3 linked regions of the Caenorhabditis elegans genome follow. The protein of the gene in region 2 interacts with the protein of the main gene of each other region in a pairwise test. Each region holds a gene or a part of one and is shown on either strand. Other genes may lie near its edges.

The links. Proteins that work in one complex are often made in the same cells at the same time.
Region 1: the proteins of nstp-4 (region 2) and C15H9.4 interact in a two-hybrid assay, tested with the Caenorhabditis elegans proteins (one large-scale study listed by BioGRID).
Region 3: the proteins of nstp-4 (region 2) and T02C5.1 interact in a two-hybrid assay, tested with the Caenorhabditis elegans proteins (one large-scale study listed by BioGRID).

What each region holds. Positions count from the first base shown.
Region 1 is NC_003284.9:6,095,811-6,100,683, reverse strand, and holds the start of C15H9.4 (Transmembrane and coiled-coil domains protein 2), read right to left. Parts: upstream 3,042-4,873; 5' UTR 2,972-3,041; intron 1-2,971. Other genes in the region: C15H9.5 (GOST seven transmembrane domain-containing protein), read right to left, coding at 3,746-3,779, 3,836-3,943, 4,008-4,219, 4,699-4,840.
Region 2 is NC_003280.10:386,830-393,253, reverse strand, and holds nstp-4 (UDP-N-acetylglucosamine/UDP-N-acetylgalactosaminetransporter nstp-4), read right to left. Parts: upstream 4,422-6,424; 5' UTR 4,413-4,421; coding exon 4,305-4,412; intron 4,100-4,304; coding exon 3,923-4,099; intron 3,385-3,922; coding exon 3,301-3,384; intron 3,095-3,300; coding exon 2,902-3,094; intron 2,196-2,901; coding exon 1,966-2,195; intron 1,095-1,965; coding exon 961-1,094; intron 810-960; coding exon 716-809; 3' UTR 522-715; downstream 1-521. Other genes in the region: C03H5.3 (SRF-dependent transcription regulation-associated protein), read right to left, coding at 5,433-5,595, 6,215-6,424. UniProt on the Caenorhabditis elegans protein: Uridine diphosphate-N-acetylglucosamine (UDP-GlcNAc) transporter in the Golgi apparatus. UDP-N-acetylgalactosamine (UDP-GalNAc) transporter in the Golgi apparatus.
Region 3 is NC_003284.9:2,693,108-2,698,814, reverse strand, and holds T02C5.1 (TNFR-Cys domain-containing protein), read right to left. Parts: upstream 3,893-5,707; 5' UTR 3,881-3,892; coding exon 3,833-3,880; intron 3,783-3,832; coding exon 3,735-3,782; intron 3,692-3,734; coding exon 3,627-3,691; intron 2,755-3,626; coding exon 2,677-2,754; intron 2,626-2,676; coding exon 2,184-2,625; intron 1,595-2,183; coding exon 1,445-1,594; intron 1,397-1,444; coding exon 1,344-1,396; intron 1,295-1,343; coding exon 1,181-1,294; intron 960-1,180; coding exon 874-959; intron 821-873; coding exon 726-820; 3' UTR 542-725; downstream 1-541. Other genes in the region: igcm-3 (Ig-like domain-containing protein), read left to right, coding at 59-217.

The DNA.
Region 1 (4,873 bases), on a different chromosome or scaffold from region 2:
AATTATTTACCAAGGAATTTAATGAGAAACATGTCAAATGATTTAAAATATAAACGTAAATTATAACCACCAACTAAATAGTTTTCTAACAATTGGTCATTTCAAAGTGGCTGAGTCACTGTATCACGAGGTGTGAGTGGAACTTTTTTTCTGAACATTTTGAAAATAAAAGAATGTATGTCTCATCCGACGCCATTATATTAATTTTTCATCGATTGAAAAATGTGGAAATGGGGAAAAATGGTTAAACATGTAGAATGCACTCTGGAACTTTGTGCTATTACAAAATTTAAACAAAAATGTTGAGATCGAAATATTTCAGCTTGAAAAAGTCTGAAGAGGCGGGAAATCAATTTCACGTATTTTGTTTGGACTGTAAAGACGCTCTATTATTAGTTTTAGACGGTTTGTTATACTTTTTAACATTAAAACTAAAACTTGAAAGAAATTTAGAAAAAGTATGCAAAACAAATAAGGACTTGCTTTTATTTTTTTTTTGAAATTCCTATTCATTTTTGCTATGACCTAAAATATTTATATAGTTACATGATTTATAATATATGATGACCAAATATGATAATAGAACTTATCAAAAAACTTTGGACAAAATCTTATTTCGAGTCAGAAGCGGTAAAAAGTTATAATCTCTACAATGCGGAAATTATTGAATATAAGTATTTTGAATATAATCAAAGCACAAAACTGGATGAAAAAATATTTTTGAAAAAATAAAAATAGAAAAAATATATAAATACTGAGTTTTCACAGCTTTTTTACTCAAAATAAAAAACATTTTCAAAATTTTTTTAAAGTTTTATTATGATATTTGGTTATTTTATAAAAAATATATTAAATTCATTTGCTACAAAAAATGTTTTTTGGAAAAAAAACATACAAAATTTGTTCAGCAAGAATTTGCGCGGGTATTCAAATTTTGAGAAAAAAATCCGGTTAATTATTTGCACTTATTACGACAAAGTTTAAAACCCAGTAGTTCATTCTCCAGTAAATTTTCAATTCACATCACTATTTCGTAAAGGGAGCTGTGAACGTAATTAATCGACTTTTTGAAACATTAAATTGGCAAATAAAAGGAATATAGTTATGTTTGCCCAAAAGAAATCAAAATAACAAATTGAGGGCACAACTAAACGTAGAAACGTTGAAGAGTATGTCAACACTTGTGGGGTAGCCTCCTCCCGAACGCGGGGGTCTAATGCGGCGCAACCGTAAAAAGTATTGAGATACACATCAACCCGAAAGGTTAGAGGTGGTAAAAATGGTCAAAAGAACAATGGTGACAAAAAGCGAGTTGACGAGAGGGGAGATATATAGGCAACCTGCTCATCTGTGAAAAAAACGATTGAAATGTTTTTCAAGGTCTTTGCACTCACACCTCACTCAAACGCGCCAAACATAATTCATGACGACGATCTATGAAGCGAAAAAGCAAAAAAAAAAGAAAATGCCTTTTGCAGTTTTTGTTCTTCTCGACAACTTTGAACTACACAGAGCAAGCAGCGGGAGAAGTGCAAGTATTCCAAAAGTATGTAAAAGCCATCCATCTATGGGGCAAGGGTTGAAAGATGAGGGAAGAAAGAAGCGGGGGGCAAGAAGACGCTTTGGTGGTGAAATAGGGGCGTCGATGTCAATCAAACCACTTTGGAAGATTGACTAAAACACTCTTTTCTTAGTCAACAGGAAATGGAAAAGAAATCGAGCGCCGCGTTTTGATTTTGCCTAGTTTCGGAAAAACACAGAAAACTGCAGGAACGCGGAAAATCAAGATCGAGGCGCGCGAAAAAACGGCTAGGCGACGAAGAGAGGATTGGCCGGACGCGAACGGACACACACACTCATTTGTACGCAAACTGTGGTCGTAATAGGTGGCAAGGTTTCAAGCTCTGAATTCTTTTTTGCAGGTACGGAAGTGGTGAACAAAAACATAAAATAGAGCAAAACTATTTCCTATTGTCCACCTTACTGTCTTATATGTAGTCAATGGAAAATTGAAAAAGCACATAAATGTCAATATACAGGGGGAGACGTTTCTCTTATCATTGCACCGTTGACCATCATAGTCGGAAATGGAGTTGTTATCAAAGGGTAAAGTTCCACTTTTTTGAGTTGATTAAAACTGGTTAATGTTTGATTAATTATGAGAACATTCTAGTGCGGTAAAACGTTTTTTCAATGAAGATCTCCCCCTATCGGATTGCAGTTCAAAATCAAAGTTTTTACATCAAGAAAAATAAAAAAGTGTGAAAATTCTATTCTACAGTTTGTAAAACAGTAATCCACACGGCCAAAAACGGCCAAAACAATGAGAGGCATATAGGAGAGGAAAAAATGTTTTTGCCTTCTAACTGAGCATTGTGATGTCTGGTGAATCAGACAGAGAAAAAGAACACAGTAAACAAGTTTCCGCGCTTCAATTAGCTCTTTTGAGATATTTTCACGCGAAAAATCAATATAAATTGATATACATCAAGTGAATGTTGAAATTGAACCATAAATCATATTGTTTTTAATAATTTAAAAATAATCATTTTGTGATTAAATTAAAAAGAAAACACTTTTCTTGCAATTTGAGGGAAACGACAGATAAAAGAGAAAAAACCATGATGATAATTAGAAAAGGAGTATAAAGAAGGAAATTATTATTTCAACATAAAAACTTTTGGAAAACTATTTTGCGCAATTAACCCAATAATAATAGCATTAATAACAAAACAAAAATGCATATAAAACCATACAAACTCGAAAAAAAATCGATAACAGCTAAGATGGATTATAAAAAGAGCAAATTGGCTCGTAAAACTAATAATCGAGCGGTATTGGCTATTGCGGTGCACAGAAAATGGCCGGATTCCGGGTGGTCGGCAGACAATGGCTAATACGCGCAGTACGCAAACACGCGCACGCAATAATGCGTACCCCCTTTCGCCATGCTTGTTCACCCCTCTCTTACCACTAGTCCTTTTAACTCGGACAGCTGTCCAATGCGGCGATCCCTCATTAGAGTTGGTTTGTCGTTCTGAATTGCATGAAATATTGTATAGATGTTGTAATATGAGGTTATATCAATGTTACAAAGGATTTTAAGTAAGGAAAAAAATCTTCTTTTCATTAATGAATTATAAGATATTGAATTCACTAGATGACCATAGAGCACACAAAGACACAGAAGGTTCAGAAAATAGTACACAATAGAATGAAAAATAATTAACAATATTTTTTTACAGGGAGTCTCGAGTTATCACATCACACGACTGGAAATTTATTGGACTAAATGTTACAACTAAAAAAGATTAGAGATGGGGAAAAGGAGGCGGAGACTAGAATTTATACACTTTGGCCAGTGTACTTTCACCTATATGTTTGAAAAAATTTAGTTCATACATCTTGAAGTTTTTAGATAATGATGATAATATTTTCTAAGGAATGATTGATATTGCAATGGAATTTGAAATTGTTTTTATCATATTTCAAAATCAGTTTCAATTTTCATCATTATCTTAAAATAGTTATATACACATTATCATGCATCTAGAAAGGACCGGTAGAAATGTTATTTGAAAAGCAAAATGTTTGAAAATAGTGAGTAGAACGCGATAGAAGTCTGGATGATCATCCTGTCCATAATAGTATTATAATCGAAACAGTTGGTTGGTTGAGTTGATAAGCCTCCCTCCGTTTGCACTGAACTCGTTGTTGTTTTTGTTGTTGTTGTAACGGATTATAATTAATCTAGCAATGATTGTTCGTAGGTTTGAGAACTGAACAAATACAGATTATTATTGAATGTTATGTATTAATACTGAAAGCCACTCACGGTTTCTTCAAAAGTTTCTGATGGGGATAGTCGGTTTGGTTGTTTGATGATTCATCTGAAACCAATCTCCTCGACACATTGGCATCTGAGTAGGCTTTTGTCAGGAATCTGCAAGATTTTCTCAACTCAAGGTTTTGATTTTTTCACAAAGATGATAAAACGAATGACTCACTGCTCATCAATTTCTTGCTCATTGTTTTCTTTATCTTTCCTATCTTCTTTCGGCGATGTCTCCACATCATAGCTATCAAAATCCGAGTTCAAGAGCAGATAATTGTGTGAATTGGCAGGCCGGAATTTGTAGCCAACGATGATGAAAAATGCGAAGGTAACCATTTCGACTGCAGCGACAATGGTCCATTGGAGGTTCACAGGCATTAAGTGCTGAACGGGAATAATTATGCACACATATGTATGATTAAAATTAGAGTAGGAGCCGGTGACGATATTGTTAGAACACGCTCCTAGGTTACCAAAAAGACCGAATATCATAGTAAATCTTTTACAAATGTTGAATTCATAGTCAAAAAGTGACATTTACTGAGATTTTGCCATTTTTTTTGGCACTGTCCCAATCTATACTTACATTGTTTAAAAACCGATGTTTGAAACATACGTAGACTATAAAATCCAAAGGTAGTTTTTTTTTTTGACCGACCACTTCAATGAAGTAGTAAAACCTGAGTAATTACCAGTTTTTGAAACGAAATATCAAAAATTTAAAAAAATTGTATAAAGTTGTACTGTGATATTTGGAATTTTGGCACCACAAAAGTGGGGTTTCAACACTTTTCCCACTGGCGCTGGCTTGAAGCTAAGAATTTTTTTTGTACATGTTTAATTGTTATAATTCTAAAACTCACGAGTAATATGAAGCCAAAAAACCTCGTGCAGTAGATGTAGACGACAACGAGAATATAAAATTGTCGAAATAAACGTAGTTTTTCCAAATTGGCTGCGGCTTTTCCATCTGTAGTGGCTCCCTCTACCAAGTGTTGAATTGACCTAAAATTTATAAAAAAATAATTAAATTTCAGT
Region 2 (6,424 bases):
AGATGGTGGTCCGATGTGCCGAGGGCGGAGAGACACAGAGAGCACCAAATATGTATTCACGAAAAACTTTCGACACCTCGAAAGTTATCGAATTAAAAAAATGTCGAAACTAACTGGAAAAAAAATCAAAAAAATTGAGTAATTGCAGTAAATAACTTTTTCACGGAAAAATCTGAAGGTTTCTTAATTATTATCGATAATTCGACGTGTTACACCTAGATTTTCTGAATTCAGCATAAATGAATTAGTCATTTGCAGCAACTTTTGGTATTTTTGTTTTTTTTTTGCTTTTCCCATTTCTCAGCCTTCATAATCATAATTTTGTGGTCAAGAAAAATTATTTTTCTCAAATTGTTAAACAGTTAGAATTTAATAAAGTAAAATTTCATATTGTTCGGAGGCATTTCCTTATGAAAAATTATTTCTTCGAAATGTCTTAAAGAGAACTTTGAATTTTTTGTAAACATTTTAATTTCTCAATTCTTTAATTCTTCTTCAATTTTCTTTAAAAAGTCATAGTATGCTCATTCAATAATTTATTTAATTTAAACTTACGATATTATTGACAATTTTTCTACAATTTGTATGACGTGTGTGCTTCCCTACACTTACAGAAAGAGAAAACCAACAAATATTGATATTAAACTGCACTTAGACTAGAAAAATGCAATCATATAAGCGAGGGAGTTGGGAAATCACAGAAATCACAGAAAAATCAGGCATTATGAGCTTCGGCTGGTGTCGATTTTGGCTCGTGGCCATAGAGGAATGTTGCAAAGATAACAACGGTGGCTCCGATGGCGAAGGTTCTGAAACAATTTTTTTAAATGGATTTCAAGTAAAATTTTCATTCGTTTTGGTCAATTTTTTTAAAAATTTCAATTTAAATTATATCAAAAACGGAACTTCGTCCAAATTTTCCATTCTTTTTCAAAAAAAAATTTCCAAAAAATCCCATACGTTGTAATAGTCAAATCTCCGAGAACAAGCCATGAAGTGAATGATGAGAGAATAATTGATAACGAGACTGCAAATCCTTTGAGAATATTGTCAGCGTACTTGACGACGAGAGCAATCACGAGCCCTCCGTAAGCCTGGAAATTTTTGAATTAAAAAAAAGTTTTTTGATTTTTTTGTTTAATTTTTGCAGAAAATTTCAGAAAAAAAAAAGTTTTTGTAGCTCTGAATTTTCAATTTTTTGTAAAAAAATTATGAAAAATTCAATTTTTTTCAAAATAAATGGAAAAATCGAAAAATTAATAATTTTTTAATTTCAAACTGAAAATTCGGATTTTTTATAAAAAATCAGAATTTTAGCATTTTTATTCAAAATAAATAAGAAATAAATTTCGATGAAACAAAATAATTTTTTGAAAAATTTTTCAGAAAAAAATTTTTTTTGTAGGGATCTTCACAAATTTCAAATTTTGTTTAAAAATTATTAAATCAAAAAAAAAATCAAACTTCTCGCAGAAAATCGGAGCAAATTCTTTTTCTGTGAAAATTTGAAATTTATTTGATTTTCAGATTTTTAATAGGAAATTGAAGGTTTTTCTGAGAGAAAATGGTTTTTTTGAAATTTTGGCAAAAAAAAATTAAGAAAAATTGAAGGATTTTTGTAAAACAAACAACCGATTCAATAAAAGATAAATAAATTTTTTAGATTAGAAATTGCAAGTTTTTTTGTGAAAAACTTGTGAAAAAAATGTAATTTTCACTGAAAATCTGAAAAAAAAAGAAAAAGAAAATCTGGAAAAAGAGAATCTGGAAAAAAACAGAAAATCTGGAAAATTCATTTTCTATAAATTTGAAATTAGTTTGAATTTTTTAAAAGAAAAATAAGACAAAATTCCGATTTTCAAAAACAAAAACTTAAAAAAATTCGATAAAACCGAATATTATAATTTTAAAATTAAATTTTCAATTTTCTAGCATTATTTTTTCAAATTTTTCCAATAAATCAACCTGCAAAAGCACGACAATCCAAATAACTCCATTATATCCTCTCAAAAATCCATCATCACTAATTGCCTGCCAATCATAGAGCCAACAGACGAGAAGTGCTCCGAATACCGAGAAAAATGCCAACTGAATATTACGGATCCACAGGGAGACTTTCGATGTTTTCAGGATTTTTTCAAAGTAGACACCAGCGAATCCGGATGAGAAGCAGGCGGCTAGAACTGCTCCGAGGCCTGGAAACGATTTTTTTTAGGTTGATTTTTTGAATTGTGAAACGTAGTTTTCCACTAAAAAATTCCTATAGAAACTGATTTTTTAGTAATTTTTTCCAGTTTGGAACGGAAAAATCGTTCTAAATAAAAAATTGAGATTTTCAGTTTCCAATTGAAAATTGATATTTTTCCACATTTTTTGAATTTTTTTTTTGTAATTTCCAGTTTTTCTTTTTTTTTGTTTTTTTAATGGTTTTTGCCGTTTTTTTGCTGATTTATTCGTTTTTAAATTTTTGAATGGTTTTTTATCGATTTCTTAAATGTTGTCTTTTAAAACGTACATACACTTTTAGGAACATTTTTAAAACGTTTTTCACTAAAACTTTCCTACAAAAATTGAATTTTAGTAGTTTTTCTCCCAAAAAATAGATTTTTGGAAAAAAAAATTGGGATTTTTATTTCGTCAAAAAATTTAGAATTTTTTCGAAAAGAATAGCAAAAATTATGCATTAACCAGGTTTAATTTTTGAAAAAATCTAGATTTAAAAAAAAAATTAAAATCTACGAAAATTGAATTTTTTAATAAATATTTTCAGTTTAAAAACATCGATATTTGAATAAAAAAAAATTTTTAATTTACAATTACTATAATTTTCCAATTTCTTTTGGAAATAAAATTTCAAATTTTTTTTAAATCGAAAAACGAGCTTAAAATTTTCATTTTTACCTAAAATATTATCAGAAGCATCGTGTTCAGCTGCGGTACTCTTAGAAGTAGTAGAATCTCCAGAGGGGTACTGTACCAGGGCAACTCCAGCTGTCAGAAGGATCAGAGCCATCCAATTGTACCGGTGAAGCGATTTTCCGAGCATTGTGACGGAGAAAATCGCGGTGGTGAGGATTTTCAGTTGATATGTCACCTGGAATTTGGGGAAAGTTATTTAAAAAATTTGAAAAAAAAAAAGATTTTCGGCCATTTTTCTAATTTTTGAAGGTTTTTAAAACATTTTTTCGTCAAATTTTCAGTGCAATTTTTTTTTGAAAACTCGGAAAAATCAAAATTTTGTTAAAAACTCGTTAGTTTTGCCTGAAAAAATTTTTTAAAAATTTACCATGAAAACTGTACCTGATAAGTAGCGGCGTCCAATTTTTTCAAAGCGAAAAAGAGCAAATTGTTCTGGATAACATACATGATGGCTGGGACTGCGACCTGAAATTTGGAAAAAAAATTAGAAATTAATTTTTTTTAAATAAAAAATTATATTTCGCAAGTTTTGTTTTTTTAATTTCTAAAAAATCCTAAAATTCAATTTTTTGAATTTTTGAATTTTCCAGATAATTTCAAACTTTCAAAATTTCTAAAAATTCGAAATAAGTTAGAAACTAAAAAATTTCAAAAATTTCAATTAATTCAATTTTTTAAAAAATTAATTTTTAAAAAATTCTTAAAATACAAAAAAAATCGAAAATTTTTGAAAAATGTCTATAAATTCCTAGAAACCCTTGAAATTCTGTAAATTTCGAAAGAAAAGTTCTAAAAAATTAATAATTACTTTTTGAAAATTAAAAAAAATTGAAAATTTTGATTTTTTTAAAGCTACATTTAAATTTTTTTAATTCCAATAACTGGAAAAATACAAAAATTATTGAAATTTTGAAAATTTCGAATTTTTGAAAATCGCTAAAAAATTCTGTCTAAAATTCTTTTGATTTTTTTCCAAAAATCTCCGAAAAATTCTAATTTTCACCTTCAACGAGTCAGCCCTGGTCTGCGGAGACGCGAAAATTTCCCGATTGAGCTCATTGAGCATTCCACTGAACCGATATCCATTATTCCGGTAGATCACGAAGAAACATGTGATAAGCTTGATAATTTCAGCGCAGACGACAGCGGTGGAGGACAGGTAGCGGGGTCCTTCGGATTTCTGGAAAATAATTTTTTTCTACGAAAAAAATTATAATTATATGCCTAAAAAATCGTAAATTAAACTTTTTTAAAAGGTATTTTAAAAATTTTGAAAATCCGAAAATTAAACAAAATTGAAATTCCAAAAAATAGTTTTTTATTTATTTTAAGCTATTTTTTCCATTTTTGTGGTATTTTTTCACTATTTTTTCTGCATTTTCTACCTGCGTTTGACTGTATCTCAGGGTGAGAACAAGTGCGGTGGTTTGCACAATGAGCACGACCAATGAGATGAGCTTCAGATTGGAGCTCGTGTCGTTAGCTCGATTCATGGTTTTTACCTGGAAATATTGATTTTAAAACTAATTATTTGTAAAAAAAAGAGAGGAAATTTTATCGTGGCGAGACCCATTATTAACGGAATTGGTCAAAAATTGAAAAAAAAAATATCACACCGACGCGAAATTTTGCGCCAAAACTACGGTATCGGGTCTCGACGCGACAATTTTCTGTCAGATACAAAACGAGCGTGCGCCTTTAAAGATTACTGTAGCTTCAAACTTTAGTTGTTGGGGAATTTTCAGTTTATTCAGTTTTTCTCACAATTTGCCAAAATTGATTAATTTATTAAAAATATTTTTAATTTAATTATTAAAAAAAAAAATAATTTTAACAAATAGTGTGAAAAACTATGAAAATTCCTCAGCAACTAAAGTTTGAAGCTACAGTACTCTTTAAAAGCGCATGTCGAATTTAATTCAACCAAAAATTATCGCGTTGAGACCTGGTACCATATTCTTGACGCGACATTTCGCGTCTGTGTAATATTTTCCTTTTTTTTTTAATATTAATTTTCAAAAAACCTGGAAAAAACTTTTTTTTTAAATTTTTTAAGGAAAAATTAGAAAAAATTAACTCCACGTTGCACAATTTCAAACCAGAAAAAACCAATTTTCACACAAAAAATTGGCTTTTAAACGCAACGCCAATCTATTTAGAATGCGAAAAGCCACGTTTTGAGCTGTGTGTTTACACACTGCTTTCACCATCTGCGTCTCTAGTGGAGAGAGGCAATTTTGTGGAAAATCACGGTTTTGAAGCTTTTTTAGCTTGAAAATCGGCATTTTTCAAAAAGAAAATCTGAAGGAATTCACATAAACGGTGAAGAGATGAAGAGAAATTGGATAGTTGGTATAAGAAATAACCTTGACCGAATTCGGACCGACGGCATGAGACGAAAATGGAAAATGCAAAAAAAAAACACGGTTTAAAACACAAAATCGCATTTTCATAACAAAAAACAAGTTGGAAATGATAATAATAACAGAAAAATTAACAAAAAAAGGAGAAAATTATCGCTTCGAGACCCATTTGCCACGTTGCAAAAACTTTTCAGTATCGGCAAGACGAGTTCCGGCGGTTCTTGATTTGAGAAGCTCCTCGCGGAAGTTGATTTGTGGCTCTAAAATGTTCTGGACACCAGCTTTGAGAGTCACAACGTTGAATTTTGCCTTGCTGAAATGAGAAAAAATTAGTAGGCGTAGGCATAGGCATAGGCTCAGGCTTAAGCTCATGCTTATGCTTAGGCATAGGAAGATGCATAGGCATAGGTTAAGCCTTAGGCATAGGCATAGGATAATGTATAGGTTCAGGTATAGGCTTAGGCTTAGGCATAGGCTACGGTATAGGTTCAGGCATAGGGTTAGGCTTAGGCTCAGGCTTTGGCTTGAGCATAGGTATAGGCTTAGGCATAGACTTAGGCATAGGCTAAGGTATAGGTTCAGGCATAGGCTTAGGCATAGGCATAGGCTAAGGTATAGGTTCAGGCATAGGCATAGGCGTAGGCATTGGCATAGACATAGGCTTAGGCTTAAGCTTACGCCTAGGCTTAGACTTAATCTTAGGCTTCGGCTTAGGGATAGGGATAGGCATAGGCATAGGCTTAGGCTTAAAGATTAGGCAGAAAAGGAAAGAAGTTTTCACAAAAATGCTTCAAAAAATTGTTTTGGTAAAATTTTTCATAAAATCGGCCGAAAATAGCTCAAAATTATGCAAATTCGCCAAAAATATATCGATTTTGCAGAGAAAAATTGGAATTTTCTCACTTTTTCACTCAAATTAGCAAAAAATAAACCTTTTCTTCATTTTAACTTGAAAAACTCCATCAGAAATCTTCTTTGCCTCCTTCTTCTTGCTTCTCTTCTTCAGCTTCTTGGCCGCCAATTTCGCCGATTTTTCGGCCTTTTTCTCCAGAAGCTTCTCAATTATACTTTTTGGCTCAGCGACTGACATCTCTGGAGCTTTTGAAGTGGCTTCCATTGGCTCATCATCGTCGGAATCGGAA
Region 3 (5,707 bases), on a different chromosome or scaffold from region 2:
TTAACTGGGTTCACTTCTTTCATTCATTTCTTTGTTTTTTTTCTCATCATCACTTCAGAAGAAACGGACAACGGTCGCTGCATTCCACGAGGGTGTGAACTATGCAGAGCTCGAACTCAAAAGAGGCTTCGCAGCACAGCCATCAAGTACCGTATCAATCAGCTCTGTTAATAGTAGACCGCATAGGGGCACTGCTTCTGTTCAGTCTGTCGTCTAGCTAATCTATGTGTACATCCACTATCCTCCGTGTTACCTGTTTTTTAAAAACCGTATTGAAAAAGTTTTAATGGCCATATTTGAAATTTTAATTACAAATGTACCTTTCTGCGTTTTTTCTTTCTTTTTCATTTTTCACTTTCCCTTCTAGAACCATCCCTTGTTTGATTTTTTCTTCGAGCATTGTCAGCCATTCATGCAACTTCGGGTATTATATGCTATCTCTATCACCTCTCATTTCCCTCCACTTAAATTTCGTGGCCTCAGGCGGTGTTATCACCCATTTCCCTTTTTGGTGTTTTACCCCGACATTTTTTTTTGAAATGGAATAAAGGTTTTATCAAAGATACATTCTTCCCATAAATTTTAAATTTACTATTTCAGAACGTAAAAAGAAATGAAATGGAAAATGCGGATGCACATTTAAAAAATACAAAAATAAAAAAATAAAGAAGATTAAATATACAAACAGATAATTCTCATAATTCTCACGGAGAAGATAAAATTAATCAAACATCGAAAACTGGGTTGACATGAACGTGACGGCTGGCCTGTTTTTCCTTGCTTTCAAGCTTCTCGATATAATTGCTGGAATCAATGATCACTGGAATAAACTTTGTACATTAGATTTTTTTGTAACTCTTTTGAAATCCCTACTATGATAGTCCTGCGAGTCGGTGGGGACGCCCAAGAATTCCTTTCTTTCCGCACGCATCAAAGCATATGTGATAGAGAGAATAGTGCTGGAAAAACAAACCATAGATTTTACAGTTCAAAAGTTAGAATCTGAGACGTGTTGATTTATAGTTTGATCTACAAAAAAAGGCGGGAAGTTTTTTTCCAGAAAAATTGAGACGTTAGCACCATGCGAAATCAGATGAGATGTCTGCGTCTCAACTCCCGCATTTTTTGAAGATCAAATCGAAATATGACATTCTGAATCCACGTGATCTAGCTTACTTACACAACAATGATCATTCCCATACAGATGACAAAGACTGAACCCAAGTTTTTAATGAATAGTGGTGAGCTTTCTGTCTCATCATTCAAGATCTTTCTTCTATTTTTGAGCGACTTTCTGAAAAATGGAAATTTCTCAAATAAAAATCATTGAAACATTGACTTACGCGATGAGCTGGTCAAATTCCTCAATCTCCTCGGCTTCGACAACTTCGACGTTCTGTATTTCAAAAAAATTTCAGAAATCCGGGTAGATTTGCAGACATACCGTTCTGATTGGTTTCACTTGATCATCAACCCAATTGTCCCACTTGATTTCACGCTCGTTTGACTCTTCAGAGGAGTCATAATCGTCTTGGTTGATTTTGCGCACAGGGTTTGGTAGGGCTTCAATCTCTCGGAATGTGGCCTCGGCTTCCTGAAATTAAAATGATGAATTTAGTTCTGAAAATTTAAAAATTGGGCACTCAATTTTCATGGTCAATTTCAAAACATAAGAGCGAGATATCCCAAGTTTACATCAAAAAGTTAGCTTCACACAATAATTTTTTTGTAGATTATAGATGATACTAAAAGTGAGGGAATTTATGACGGCAGTTTCAAAAATGTTTAACCACCCCAACGGTTTTAACTCGGAGCCACTTTTTCTGGCATCTTCTCAATTGTGTGCGAATTTTGCTTAAATTAAACACTTAGAAAATCAACAAAAACAAAAAGAAAAAAGTTAGTTCAAGAAAATTGGGTCGTCAAAAAGTCTTCAAAATTTTTTTGAGTATACAAAACTTTTCAATTTCTTATTTCAATGATTTGCTCCGACATATTTCAGAAGCGGGATAGCTCAGTTGGTAGTGGTGGTCGCTAGCAATCTGGAGGCCACGAGTTCAAGTCCGGCCTCACCCTTATATCCCAGTGAGAGCACTACCAGGCAGTGTTCCTGACTTCCAGATCCGCAGTGCATAGCACAATTTAAATATGCTAACTTTATTGTTTTGTTGTTTTCCACCTACCTCATGAGAAACAATTGTAGTTTTTCCTTTCGCAATTTTAACAGAAGACGGAACTTTTTCACTTTTTTCAATCATGTAAGCTTTGACTTTTTCCGAAACAATTTCGCTTCCAATCTCATTTTCATCAGTCTTCTCCTCTTCGCCAATTTCTTCCGAAGAACTTGAATCATCTCCTTCTTCATAAGTCGGGTCTGGTAGCTGGTGCTCTTGACTATCGTACACATCTTCTAAACTGTTTCTCGCCATATCGTAGTTGATCTCATTTGAATCAATCATCTCAAGATTTTCACCTTTGATGAAATTATCTTTAATTGGTAACTCTTCTACCTCCTCACTATCCTTTTCATCATCAAAAACATTGACAAGCTCGTCTTTCAGTTTGGTCATCCCGATGAAATCTAGGCTAGACATAAGACACTTGGTTTGGTAAGAGACAAGCACTCTGAAACATGGGCTAACTTTGTAATAGAATCAGCCTCATTTTATGACATACTCATCAGAAATTTTGTCCAAGTTTGGTTTGTTTCCACACCATCCACAAACTGTGTTTGAAGTATCCGTGCATTTTGCTCTAAAAACTTTAATAGTTTTTCACAAAAGGGAAATTTTCGACGAAATGCGAGTTTTCCGTACGAGATAATAAAATATGTTTAATATATATATATATGACGTCATAAGAAACTGAAAATAAATATTGTTTATCAAGCTTGACCCCTGACTAAATTTTTGCATGATAATGTTCTACAACGGTTGCATGCAGATTTTGAAACTCATAAACTTTCATATTAGAAAATTAATTGAACCTTATAAACGGGTATTTTGAAGTTAAGGTACCTAAATAAATTTTTTAAAAACCCATTTTCTGAAAAACATTCCTACTGATGTGTAAATTTCAAAATTTGCCAATCTCGGCAAATTCGGCAAATCTGCATTTTCGAGTTTTGCTGTGCTGGGCAAATTTGGCATATTTGCCGCACACCCATGCTCCAAATGCCGAGTTAATTTGAAAACCCATGGTGAGTTGAACTCACTATGTTCAATGTTTTGCTAGTCACAAGTTTGAATAAACAAATGCCCGGAAAATTGATTGCTATCAAATTTCTGTTTTCAAACTGAAGTACTGTTTATTCTTATCAATCACCTTGTTACTCAATAGCACTAAGTTTTCACGACACCATATGACACCGAGGTGTGCATGACATGCTCTTCACAGTTATCAGTATTCTGACATCAATGCTAAATGACAAGACCGTTTGAATACACGGGCTGTCAGATTGTTTTATGTTTTACAATTTCATAAGGAATTGGTTTTTCAAGTATCTAAAGATCTAACCGCTAAATCTGGCAGTTTACAGACTTTTTATTACAGATTCCACGATGAGACAGTGTCCCGTAATTTTTGAATGAATTTGGCATAAAAAATATCAACAAAAAATTACTTACAGCTCGTACATGAAGTCACCACATGGAGTGCATTGGAAGCAGACGCCTCTGAAGTTGTAGTGCCCCTAAAACAAATTGAGAACTTACAAAAAAACAATTTAAACATACATCAAAGCATTCGGTAACGTAAGGGGACTCATGTAGCTTGCTGGCCACCTGAATAAAAATTTAACTAGAATATTTTCAAAGTGTACAATAGGTCTCACCAGAGTGACTGTACCAACAAAAAGTAGTAACTGCAGTGCTCCTCTCATTGCGTGCCGCGTGTAAAGGACTGACGCTCTTATCTCAGCGACGTCTTTTTAAATAATTTCAGATTGATAACAGTTCTATTTGTATGGTGTGGTTAGAGAAAAAAAGGTGGTGAACTTTGGAAGCCAATGTTAATTTTCTGAGTTGCGAGGGAGGTGAGTTATGAGGTGGAAAATTAAAAATATGAAAACATGGCAATTGATAGTTTATTAAAAGTGAAGACAAATAACCATTGAAGCACAAATAGAAAAAGTTTCTGCTCAAGTTTCCAAAAACACGCGGATTTGTTTTGTGAAAAAAATTATTAACTATTTAAAAAGATGACATTCTCCATTAAAACAAATTCGAAAACATAGTTGATGAAAATTTTCTTGAAAATTCAAAAAAAAAATTTTATCACTTGGAAAGTGATCTTGCTCTTGTCTCCTAATTATGATAAATATACAACATTTATAATTGAAACTAACAAAAATATTTTTTCGAAATTTGCATGTAGGAATTTTGTTTAAATACACCAATAATAATAATAAAATGACCAAATAAAACACTCCAAACAATTTTGGAAAGTTTGAGTCAAACGTTTGGCGAATTCCAAAATTTTCAAACCGTGAGCTTTAAAGGAAATCCAGAGCAATGCAGTATGTTCCGATTTTCAGAATTTATTAACAAAAATATTGTAGATGAAGTATTGAAAATCTGTGAGTAAGTTCGATTGCGAAAAAATATACAAGTTGAGAAATAGGAAAAGTTTTGGAGAAGAACTGTGGTACGTTGCACTTTGGAAAAAAAATCAGAATCTCCAATTACTTCTATGAGAGTTGAGAGAGTGCACAATCGTGAATGTTAAAATTTATTAAGTTTACACGCCGCTACCAAAAGTACTGTAGGTCGCATTTTTCACAAATGAGCGTTGAAACGAGATTTACGAGCTATCAAAAGTACAGAATATTTCCGGCTTTTAGAACATTTGTATCATTTTAACTGCAGTCACATGAATATATACCATGACTAATAAAAATATCACACATTTTCGTATGCTGGAAAACAAATATTTCATAAGAGAAATGATAATATTGATCAATACTGCAAAATTGTATCCAAAAGCTGGTTCAGTGTTTGACAATCAAAATCCTTGATCCAGCCTAATCAAATATTTGAAGAATAAAAATGCACGGAGTGAATCTAGTAAACTTTACCAGAATAAATCAAGGACTTATATATTTTTGAATTCAAACATATTCAATTTATATTGAAAATTGAATTTTAAAAAAGTTAGGTACAAACGTTTGAAAAATTTATATTATTTGAGACACAAAAAAAACATACCACAAAACTTATTTCTCACTCTAATAATTTATTGCGACTAGTTTTCTATTTTATTTAGTCTTGTGACTAGTCCATTGGCAAAAGTTGCATCTCACCATTTGCATACTCTCACTCACAAAACAATCAAAAATGACAGGAGGGAAGTTATGATAAAAAGCAAATATTGACCAAAATTTTACTGTGTTGTTGGGTCAAAATTGTATCGATATCTAGACAACTGCCCAGATGCAGTCAAAAGACAGAGAGTACGGGCGGCTGCCCACTAATCGTCGTGCCTGTGTGCCCATCAACTGCTCTGGTTGCTCTCGCATCTGTAAGGCGGTGTCTGAATAAAAACTGTGCGTTCTCATGTCCATCTGTGCTTTTTACAACATTTTTTGGTCACTTGTTCTGTTGACAGTGATTTCATAATATTCCATCAAGACGACGGTCTCAATCGTTTTCCGATTAAACCTAAAACAGTTTGTTTTTGACAACACGGTAGTTGTTGTCTTATCAGTGCA